Nothobranchius furzeri: one gene and its partner. Each later gene encodes a partner of the first gene's protein in a complex. Links are inferred from orthologs where the notes say so. Each region holds a gene or a part of one and is shown on either strand. Other genes may lie near its edges.

What was found.
Region 2: the proteins of ercc6l (region 1) and bend3 are in contact, whole or in part, in a crystal structure (PDB 5JNO), measured with the Homo sapiens proteins. The link is inferred for Nothobranchius furzeri from reciprocal best matches to the Homo sapiens genes ERCC6L and BEND3. Residues at the interface, in NP_060139.2 of Homo sapiens: Ala10, Glu11, Ala12, Leu13, Ser14, Pro15, Glu16, Ala18, Ala19, Tyr21, Leu22, Arg23, Lys26, Phe51, Pro52, Asn53, Glu54, Lys55; in NP_001073919.1 of Homo sapiens: Glu252, Gln255, Ile256, Gln259, Leu261, Asp265, Arg269, Val272, Gln273, Pro276, Phe279, Ser280, Phe335, Arg338, Phe339, Gln342, Glu346.

Annotation. Positions count from the first base shown.
Region 1 is NC_091750.1:36,676,902-36,681,252, forward strand, and holds the start of ercc6l (DNA excision repair protein ERCC-6-like), read right to left. Parts: upstream 3,105-4,351; 5' UTR 2,998-3,104; coding exon 2,945-2,997; intron 2,048-2,944; coding exon 1,985-2,047; intron 1-1,984. UniProt on the Homo sapiens protein: DNA helicase that acts as a tension sensor that associates with catenated DNA which is stretched under tension until it is resolved during anaphase. Functions as ATP-dependent DNA translocase. Can promote Holliday junction branch migration (in vitro).
Region 2 is NC_091758.1:40,783,176-40,787,726, reverse strand, and holds the start of bend3 (BEN domain-containing protein 3), read left to right. Parts: upstream 1-1,543; 5' UTR 1,544-1,730; intron 1,731-1,758; exon of another isoform or gene 1,759-1,853; intron 1,854-3,563; 5' UTR 3,564-3,566; coding exon 3,567-3,863; intron 3,864-3,937; coding exon 3,938-4,551. UniProt on the Homo sapiens protein: Transcriptional repressor which associates with the NoRC (nucleolar remodeling complex) complex and plays a key role in repressing rDNA transcription.

The DNA of each region.
Region 1 (4,351 bases):
TTATATTTGCACTTTAATCACACGAAAAAATGTTAATTCCCGTTCTCTAAAGGGACTTTACAGAGTTTTGAAGTTTTATGCTCGTGATTGCCCCCTCAGGCCAAAAGCGTAAAGGCAGCTTCAATAGTGGGCTCGTGCACGAGGCGCGCATGCTGTACGTGCACACTCCTTAACGAAAATAACAGCTGAGACAGTCCCTTGTGTGTGTGTGTGTGTGTGTGTGTGTGCGTGCGTGTGGCCCGGAGGACAGGAGAACACGCAGCTAATTAATTAAATAATGTGGTTCTGTACCTTTCTCTTCAGCACAGCCGACAAAGGTTTATGATGGGTCAGTCCTCCTGCATGCTCAGATCATTCCCTTCCCTTGCTTGAAAAATTGTTCCAAAATGAAAGTTGAACCCACATCTTTTTTATCTGTGAATTCAATGCCGTTTGGCGAGTCTCAAATAAAAATTTGGGCATCTTACTGTAAAAAAATATACCATTAATGTAAAAAAGAAACTCTAAATAAACTATGTTCACACCCAGAATCAAACCCAGGTCTTCTGCATGAGAGTCAGACATCTTACTAGGTGAGCTAAAGCACCAGTGATGTCCTTTGTATCTGTAACATTTATATCCTTGATGACAGATGAAACAACGTCAAACCAAAGAACGGTTCGGAGTGAAAATGGCTATTTTGTTGCTAATTTGCAGGAAATATCTAGAAGAAAGTTCTACAGAAAGTAGCTAAGGGTCCTCAGAAATGTAGCTAGCTTTGTCACTAGGCGTTAGGAACAGCGACAAAGTGGCACTGCCTCTCTCTCTGCTGCTAAAGCTACGGATAGCAAACGCTACGGGCGATGCCTGAGCGTGAACGCGCATGAAGCAGCCTGCTCGACCCGAGCATCTCTCTTTTTCTGTGATTTTACAGAAAAACAGGCAATCACAGTAAAAAATGCCAGAGCTCATTCTACAGGACCAGGGCATTGCAGGAGAACGTATGAAGAAGACATTTATTATTTCTATACATGTTTGGCTGTCAAACTTCCATAATGCCCCTTTAAGGTCTAACGATCAGTTGCTACTTTCTGTTCCTTTTGCTCGCACACAGTTAGGAAAGAGAGCCTTCGCCTGCTCTGCTCCTTCTGCTTGGAACCAGCTGCAGAAATCCTGGAAAATGACCGAGCAGGTTTCACTAAATGCCTTCAAAACCAAACTGACAGCTTCAGAGACCGCATTAGTAACTTGTAACTGCTTTTAATGATTGAGTGTTTTATCATTGTCATTTTGTTAACTGGAATTTTTGCTGCCTCTTGGCCAGGGCTCCCTTGTAAAAGAGGTTCTTAACCTCAATGGGTCTCTATCCTCGTTAAATAAAGGTTAAATAAAAATAAAAATAAAGGTTCTTTAGCAGTTCAGACTAAATGATTTACAGTAAAAACATAAATTAGTAAATCTGCATCAAGTTGGCTAATAGAACCAGGAAACGAGTCACAGAATCACCAATTTGTAGCACATTTATGTAAATTAACATTTTCTCTTAGTGATAGTTTTCATTTATTCCACGCTCTTTATCTAAACATGAAAATAAAACATGTTACTGAATCAAGGACGCATTTTCAGAGCTAAAATTCAGCTTCCTATCAAACTGTTATTGATGTTTTTGAACATTTCATCCAACTTAAAGAGTTCGTTTACATGCTGATCACAAATGTGTCATCTAAATCAGTAACAACTTTTATCAGGAAGAGCAAAATGATTCGTAAACAATAAGAAAATAAATGAATACTAGTTGTGCTCACAGTGTATTTATTATTTCCTAAAATAAAGAATAAGTTTATGAGTGTATGTTTGAGCGTGGGGGCTAAAAACACCCACACACAAGATAATTACAGACTTGAGAGAAAACTGCTGGTTTTATTTCTAGTCCTTCAGTTACTCAGCTCATCAGATATGAAGGAATTTCATCATAATCAAAAACAGATGATTGTGTGTGAGATACCTGGTATACTTCTCCATCATCTTGTCCTCTGCGTGGTTGTCCTCTGCGTGGATGGACAGAGATCTGGACAGAAAAATCTATGTTAGAAATTCAGAAGATAGATCTCAACTTTACTGAGCAAGACCAAACACGTTCAGATTTCAGATTTATTGGCCAAGTAAAATTACATTTACAAGGAATTTAGCTTCGGTAGATGTTCGCTCTCTAACACATACAACAACTACAATAAATGAGAATAAAAATACATGAAAAACACATAAGAACACGTATACCCACACACATGTTCATTTACACACACACATATATACATATGTATACACACACACACACACACTCATATCCATAAGCATACTGAATAAGCATTAAAACCTATAATAAAAAGATGGTAAAAGAATCTACAGATTCAGGAGAGAAATGGCTGAATGAAAGAAACTGTTCTTGTGTCTGATAGTTTTTGTGTACAGCGATCTATCGCGTCTGCCAGATGGGAGGAGATGGAAGAGAGTAGATGCAGGATGTGTGGCATCTTGGACAATATTCACTGCCTTTTTCCTGGTCCTGCTGATGTACAGTTCCTGGACAGAGGGCAGCTGGGCACCAATGATTTTTCCTGCTGTTTTAATAATACGCTGTAGTCTGCATTTGTCCATTTTTGTGGCTGACCCAAACCAGACAGTGATGGATGAGCAAAGTATGGATTCCACTGCAGCAGTGTAAAAGATGATCAGCAGCTCTTGTAGTAGGCCGTACTTCCTTAGTTGCCGTAAGAAATACATCCTCTGCTGAGCCTGCTCCTTTGCCCGTCTCAACGGGCTCAGTATTGCTGTAAACCTTGGCTTGTAAAATTGGAGAAATAACTAAGAATTGATGTTACGGAAACGCATGTGAGTTCAAACGCCTTTAGCAGCTAGCTAGCTAGTTTGGTAAACGCTCTTGTAAATGCACCGTAAGCTCACTTACTTTTCGAGTCTGTCAGAAACATGAGAAACCTGTTCATCGTGACGAGAGTCCATTTTGTTACTTTTCTGCTAGTCCGTTGTAATAATACAGCAATAAACTCTACGCAGATGTTTGCATTTATATCTTCTCGGATTTCTCCGCCATTTTTTATAGCCAATCAGAGACCACGCTGTGATCCCATATCCGGTTACGCTGTCCAATCACAAAAACGACTGGGCAGAACTTAGTTACGTAATTTCCGACTTGGAAATTCTGATGACAACGTACGACTGAATTCAAATTCAGCCAAGAACGAGAAGGTGTTTAACAGTTTGATGTAATAAGCTTAATGGTTCACCAGCTATTAAATCATTTTGGTGCTTTAATAGAATTCTGTTATTTAAATTTTTAACATCTAATACATTTTGGCATGTTTTGAATCTACAGTTGCAGTTAAACATTCCTCCTGTAGAGGGCGATGTCTCAAAAACTGTAAAAGGAAAGGCAGCTTTGTTTGTACAGCACATTTCATACACAAGAGTAATTCAGTGTGCTTAATTAGCAAGAATAGTAAGAACATTAAAAATCATCAAGCCAGAAAGTACACACAAACTAATTTTTGATTTAAAAATTAAAAGAAAGGGACTTAACTAAAGGGTGAAATTTACAATGATTATACAAAAAATATGTATAAAACTACAGCCTAGAGGTACTTTTATGAAGTGTCGAGAATGCATAACTGTCAAGTACACAGGTGGCAGGTACGGCCAGTCACACGTTGGCAAGTATCAGCAGAGCCAACAGATGAGCTTATGGATGGTTCTGATAGGAAGCAGGCTTCAAAACAAGCGGTTGTATTCCACTTGGTCCTAGTGCTCAATCAGTGTCTACTTAATATAGCGTAATATATTTTTGGGATGGTAAAAGTGCAGGGACCCCCCCCCCCCCCCCCACACACACACACACACACACACCAATCGGGCATCTGATTAGGATGCCTCCTGAACGCCTCCTGAGGTTTTCTGGGCATGTGCAACTGGGAGGAGACCCAAGGGAAGACCAGGACACGTTGGAGGGACTTTGTCTCTCAACTGGCCAGGGAACGCCTTGTGGTTCCCCCGGAAGAGCTGGGCTAAGTAACTAGAGAGAGGGAAGTCTAGGCATCTCTCGGCTTAGGCTGCTGCTCCCGCGACCCGACTCTGGATAAGCGGTTGAGAATGGATGGATGGAGGAGGTGGATGCCAGAGGAGCGCAGGGTTCATATGGTAAAAGTAGGTCTGAGAGATAAGAGGGCTGAAGACCATTAAGACCCTTAAAAACAATTAGGAGTACCTAAATATCCAAACAAGAATACACAAACACAGAGACTCAAAATCCCGGAGCAGTTTCCAGACCAGACCGAGGCTCTACTGAGGCCTTTCCACGGAG
Region 2 (4,551 bases), on another chromosome or scaffold:
CCTTCTTTGCGCCTGGCCCAATGGTGATTTTTCACTTTCTGGTTCTAATTTCCATGTTTTTATTCTGTAAAATACTTTATTACAATCAGCCTATGTGACTGCTTTAAAACTGTAAGTAAACTGAAATGCTACGTGATTTTAGTAAAAAGAGTAAATGCAATTTATTACGTCGTCACTAGCCTGGCCTACCAGACTCATCCTCTGTTTAATTCTGCACAGAGAATGATTCATTCATTCATTGTGCAGGCTACGTCATCACACCCCACTGTATGTGGGATACAGCGGGATTCTTGTGATGTACCATTAGTGTGTTTAAAAAAGCATGATACATTTATTTAAATCGTATTTTTTATTCTTGTGACAAAATTCTATAATCATAAGTGTAAATTTAATTATAAGATATTTCCTCAAGTTGTTAAAAGATATGGCTTTATAAAATTAATATTACACCGTTCAAACAAAAAGGCTCTCAAAACAACTGGTATTTGGGGATTTTTGTTTGTAACTGCATAATTAATCCCTTTGGATGATTGTTCGTATGAAAGTATTTGTATAAATTCACAAAGTTTTTTTCCGGAACTGCGCTGCTCTGGGTGGCTGCATGTTGGAGTAGCTCTGTTGACTATATGTAAGTTTTGCCTTTTCTTGGGCATTTTTTCTTCTAGTTTCTCAAGAAAAACTATATTTTTTTTACACTTTACTTTTCTGTTTCTGGTGCTGTGAAGCTTGGAGGATTTTTACTGCTATTTTTTAGCTTTTTTCTCTTTTTAAGCATTTGTTATGATGCATAACCATGGCAACAAGCTGGTTTACAATCAGGAGCAGCTGATTAACATTAGAAAGGCTGAAATAATACCTCAACTGAAGCCACAAATCCCAAATGAGCTAAAACACAAGAAGCGTGGGTGCAGAGCGGGAGCAAAACGGAGACAGAGAAAGAGGAAATTCAAACCATCTCTTCCATCGATCATAATGGGCAATGTGAGATCACTGGCCAACAAGATGGAGGAACTCCAAGCCCTTTCAAGGACTCAGCCAGAGTTTCTGCAGTTTTGGGACCGCTGGAGGAGAAAATGCAAAGAAGGATTCTCCAGAGAATCAAGAAAATGATGGACAACCCTGAGCATTCTCTTCACAAGACTGTCCGACAACGGAAGAGTGTCTTCAGTCAGAGGCTTCTTCAGTTTGGCTGCAACACTGACCGCTACTGGAGATCCTTCCTGCCAATAGCCATTGTAATATACAACAACTCTTTGATGACTTGAGTATTATTATTATTCTGAGCTACTACAGCAATCAGTTTCCATCTGGGATTAATAAAGTATTTTTTAATTGAATTGAAATGAATTGAAATGTATTGAGCACTTGCACGTTTTTTATAAATTTCTAGCTGTTTTACTAACAGTGGTAGACACAATCAAAGATGTACATTAGCTGTGAACAGTTCGTCCGGGAGCTAAAAACAGTTCTTTTTTTGGTGAGCTGATCCGATGATTCGACTCACAGAAATGAGCTGAACTTCCCACCTCTCGAAGTGACGCAGCAAGCGCGCGCCCCGTCACTTCCCGCGAGATAGCCGAGAAGACGAGCGAGAAAAGCACAACAAGAAAAGCAAAACAAAACATTAACATTAACAACAACAGTTGCTTGTTAATAAACTACCGTGAGCAGTTTCCAGACATGTCCGGTGCTTCGCCAACGGCCTTAAAGGATGACACGGACTCGAAAAGGTGAGCTCCGACCGCCGGTCACGCGCGTTTACCGTTAATTTTACTAGTAGGAGGAAGAGATGGGAGGCACATCCACGCAAACATTACCGTGTCGTTAACGTTTATAAACCAAACGCAGCAGAGGTGAGGAATCACAGCTCGGACACTCGCGGTGGATTGAATCAGTGACCTCCTCGGGCTCTGGTGAATAGTTCAGCGGGTTCGGCGGTGATCCGGTTTAAACGTTAAGGGGCGGAAGAATGAGGAAGTGGCTGCTTGTAACGCTCCGCCGAAGTCCTCAGAAAAGAATCCAGATTTGTTTTATAAAGCTAAATAAACTGTTAAGTTGTTACTTTTTTTAAAAACGCTCATAAGAACACACTCAAGCATAACCTGGCGGGTGTTTCGGCTACAAACAGCTGATCGTGTGTTTCTCATAAAGATAACACTTATTTATTTGTAGTTCATTTCAGAGTGTAACAAAAAGTAAACACGGTGTACGTTGCTGCCATAAAATCAGGATATCATTCAAAGCACATTTAATAGTAGATGTTTAACCCCGACCGTGGTTTAGTGCGGATCGTAATTCCTGCGTCTATAAACGGGTTTGCATTTTAAAATGTCATCTCTGTAAAGCTGGTGACGAGTGGGGAAATATCACGAGTTTGGAGGCATGAGATCATTCTGCTTCCAGATCCGTGAAAGATACAAGAACAACTTGTACCACGTTTGCTGATTGAATTCAGTTTCCCCCCACAAGCAGCTCCGTTTATTAACAACACTGCACATAAATGGCAAATGGCCTGTATTTGATATAGCGCCTTCTAGAGTCCTAGAACCCCCCAAGGCGCTTTACAACACAATCAGTCATTCACCCATTCACACACACATTCACACACTGGTGGGGATGAGCTACGATGTAGCCACAGCTGCCCTGGGGTGCACTGACAGAGGCGAGGCTGCCGAGCACTGGCGCCACCGGTCCCTCCGACCACCACCAGCAGGCAACGTGGGTTAAGTGTCTTGCCCAAGGACACAATGACAGCGACAGACTGAGCGGGACTCGAACCAGCAACCTTCCGATTACGGGGCGAGCACTTAACTCCTGTGCCACCGTCGCCCCAGAGAGGACATAATTAGCTGTGAAACTACTGGAAAATGTGAAATGAATGAATGACTTGAGCCACATGGTGCAGAGCCGCTCGTTTTTGTGAAAACAACTGATTTCAATATTAATTATCCTTGGCTATTTTTATTATCACATTCTCACAAACTATTAAATCAAAGTCGCAAAATTATTCCTTATTCTTAAAGTGGTTGTTATAAAGTTTTCACACTAATACATGTTAGAAAAAGACCTTTAAGAGCAAGTCACCCCCTACCAGAGTCTTACTCCACTCCCACTTCCTGTTTGAAAAATGCAACAAATGCTGTTGCCTAGCGGGCCGAGAGGGCGGAGCCGCTAACAAACACACACAGGCTCACAACGACATTGTGACATCATATGGTACCAGCTAATGTTCTAGAGTACATCTTAGCCAGTAGCGATGGCAGATTTAAATTCAAATGCAGCGCAAAGTTTTTACCTGACAACGGCACAGCACTGACAGTTTTAGTGCAAAACTATTGACTACACGTGTCTGCGGCACGATTAGACACGCATTTATATAGCTGATCAGAAAAAAAAGTTGATTTGGGGGTGACTTGCTCTTTAACTGCCAAATATTCACAGCTCAACTTCTCGTTGTTTCTGGTTTTGATTATCTTCTTACAGCAAAACTATGTTCACTCGTTTTTAATCACGTTTTCTACGTTTGAAATAAATCAGTGACATGTATGAAATTCTCTTTCTAGGCTATGAATTCCTGCGAGCATGGAGAACATTCAAATGAAGCGATGCTTGAAAAGGGTAGGTCTCGCTCTCGTATCTCTGCATGTGGTGATGTGTTTGTTGCTGATTCTGGGTCATTTACAGAACACAAGTATGTCCAGGACGTTAAGGAGGAGCAAGAAGATTTTACTGTTTGTGAGTCATTCCAGGGACACGAAGGAGGATCTTCTGGGGTCACAGACGTCGGTAAAAGGTCGTCAGCAGAGATCGGCCCTGCGACACATCACTCAACCAGCAGCAAGAGAGCCAGAGTCACTAGCGCGGTACTGTATGTTTTCTACGTTACACTAATGTGCGTCTCATTGTTGCTTATTTAAGATTTGTTTGTTTTTGACAGATGAGGCAGCGTTTGATGGTGGAAAGCAGCAGACACGAGCCTCTTTGCCTCACAACGACAGGAGACAGGGGGCCCGGCTTCCTGGAGAAATCCGGATCCTCCTACAGAAAGCCTCTGTTCGGCATCTCGCACAGGATTTCAGAGAGGAGGAACACACCGAGTGTGGAGCAGCTCGCTAATCACGGCGGCTTCAGTCAACTCGACAGCATCCTTTCACCGAAGCTCCAAAGTCTGGAGCAAAACGGGCCCCTGGAGACCTTCTCTGCCACCACAGACTCCTCAGGCCGGACGTCAGCAGACCCGAGTCTTTATCCACTGATTGAGAAAATGTTTTTTATCCTCAACACACTGAACTCAAGCATGAGTCAGCTGCACAGCAAAGTGGACTTGCTAACCCTGGAAGTCATGCGCATAAAGAAGCACATGAAACCAGCTGAGAATGCGATGGAGTTCCAGCCTCCCCCCGAGTATCTGCTCACGAACGATGAACTGAATCAGCTGATGGAGCACACGTCCAACGCCGGCGAGCTCGGGTGTCAGCTGCTCGTGCATCTCTTCCCGGAGCTTTTCAAATCTAAAGGGTGCTCTCACGACTGCGTTGCGAGCAAGAGGAC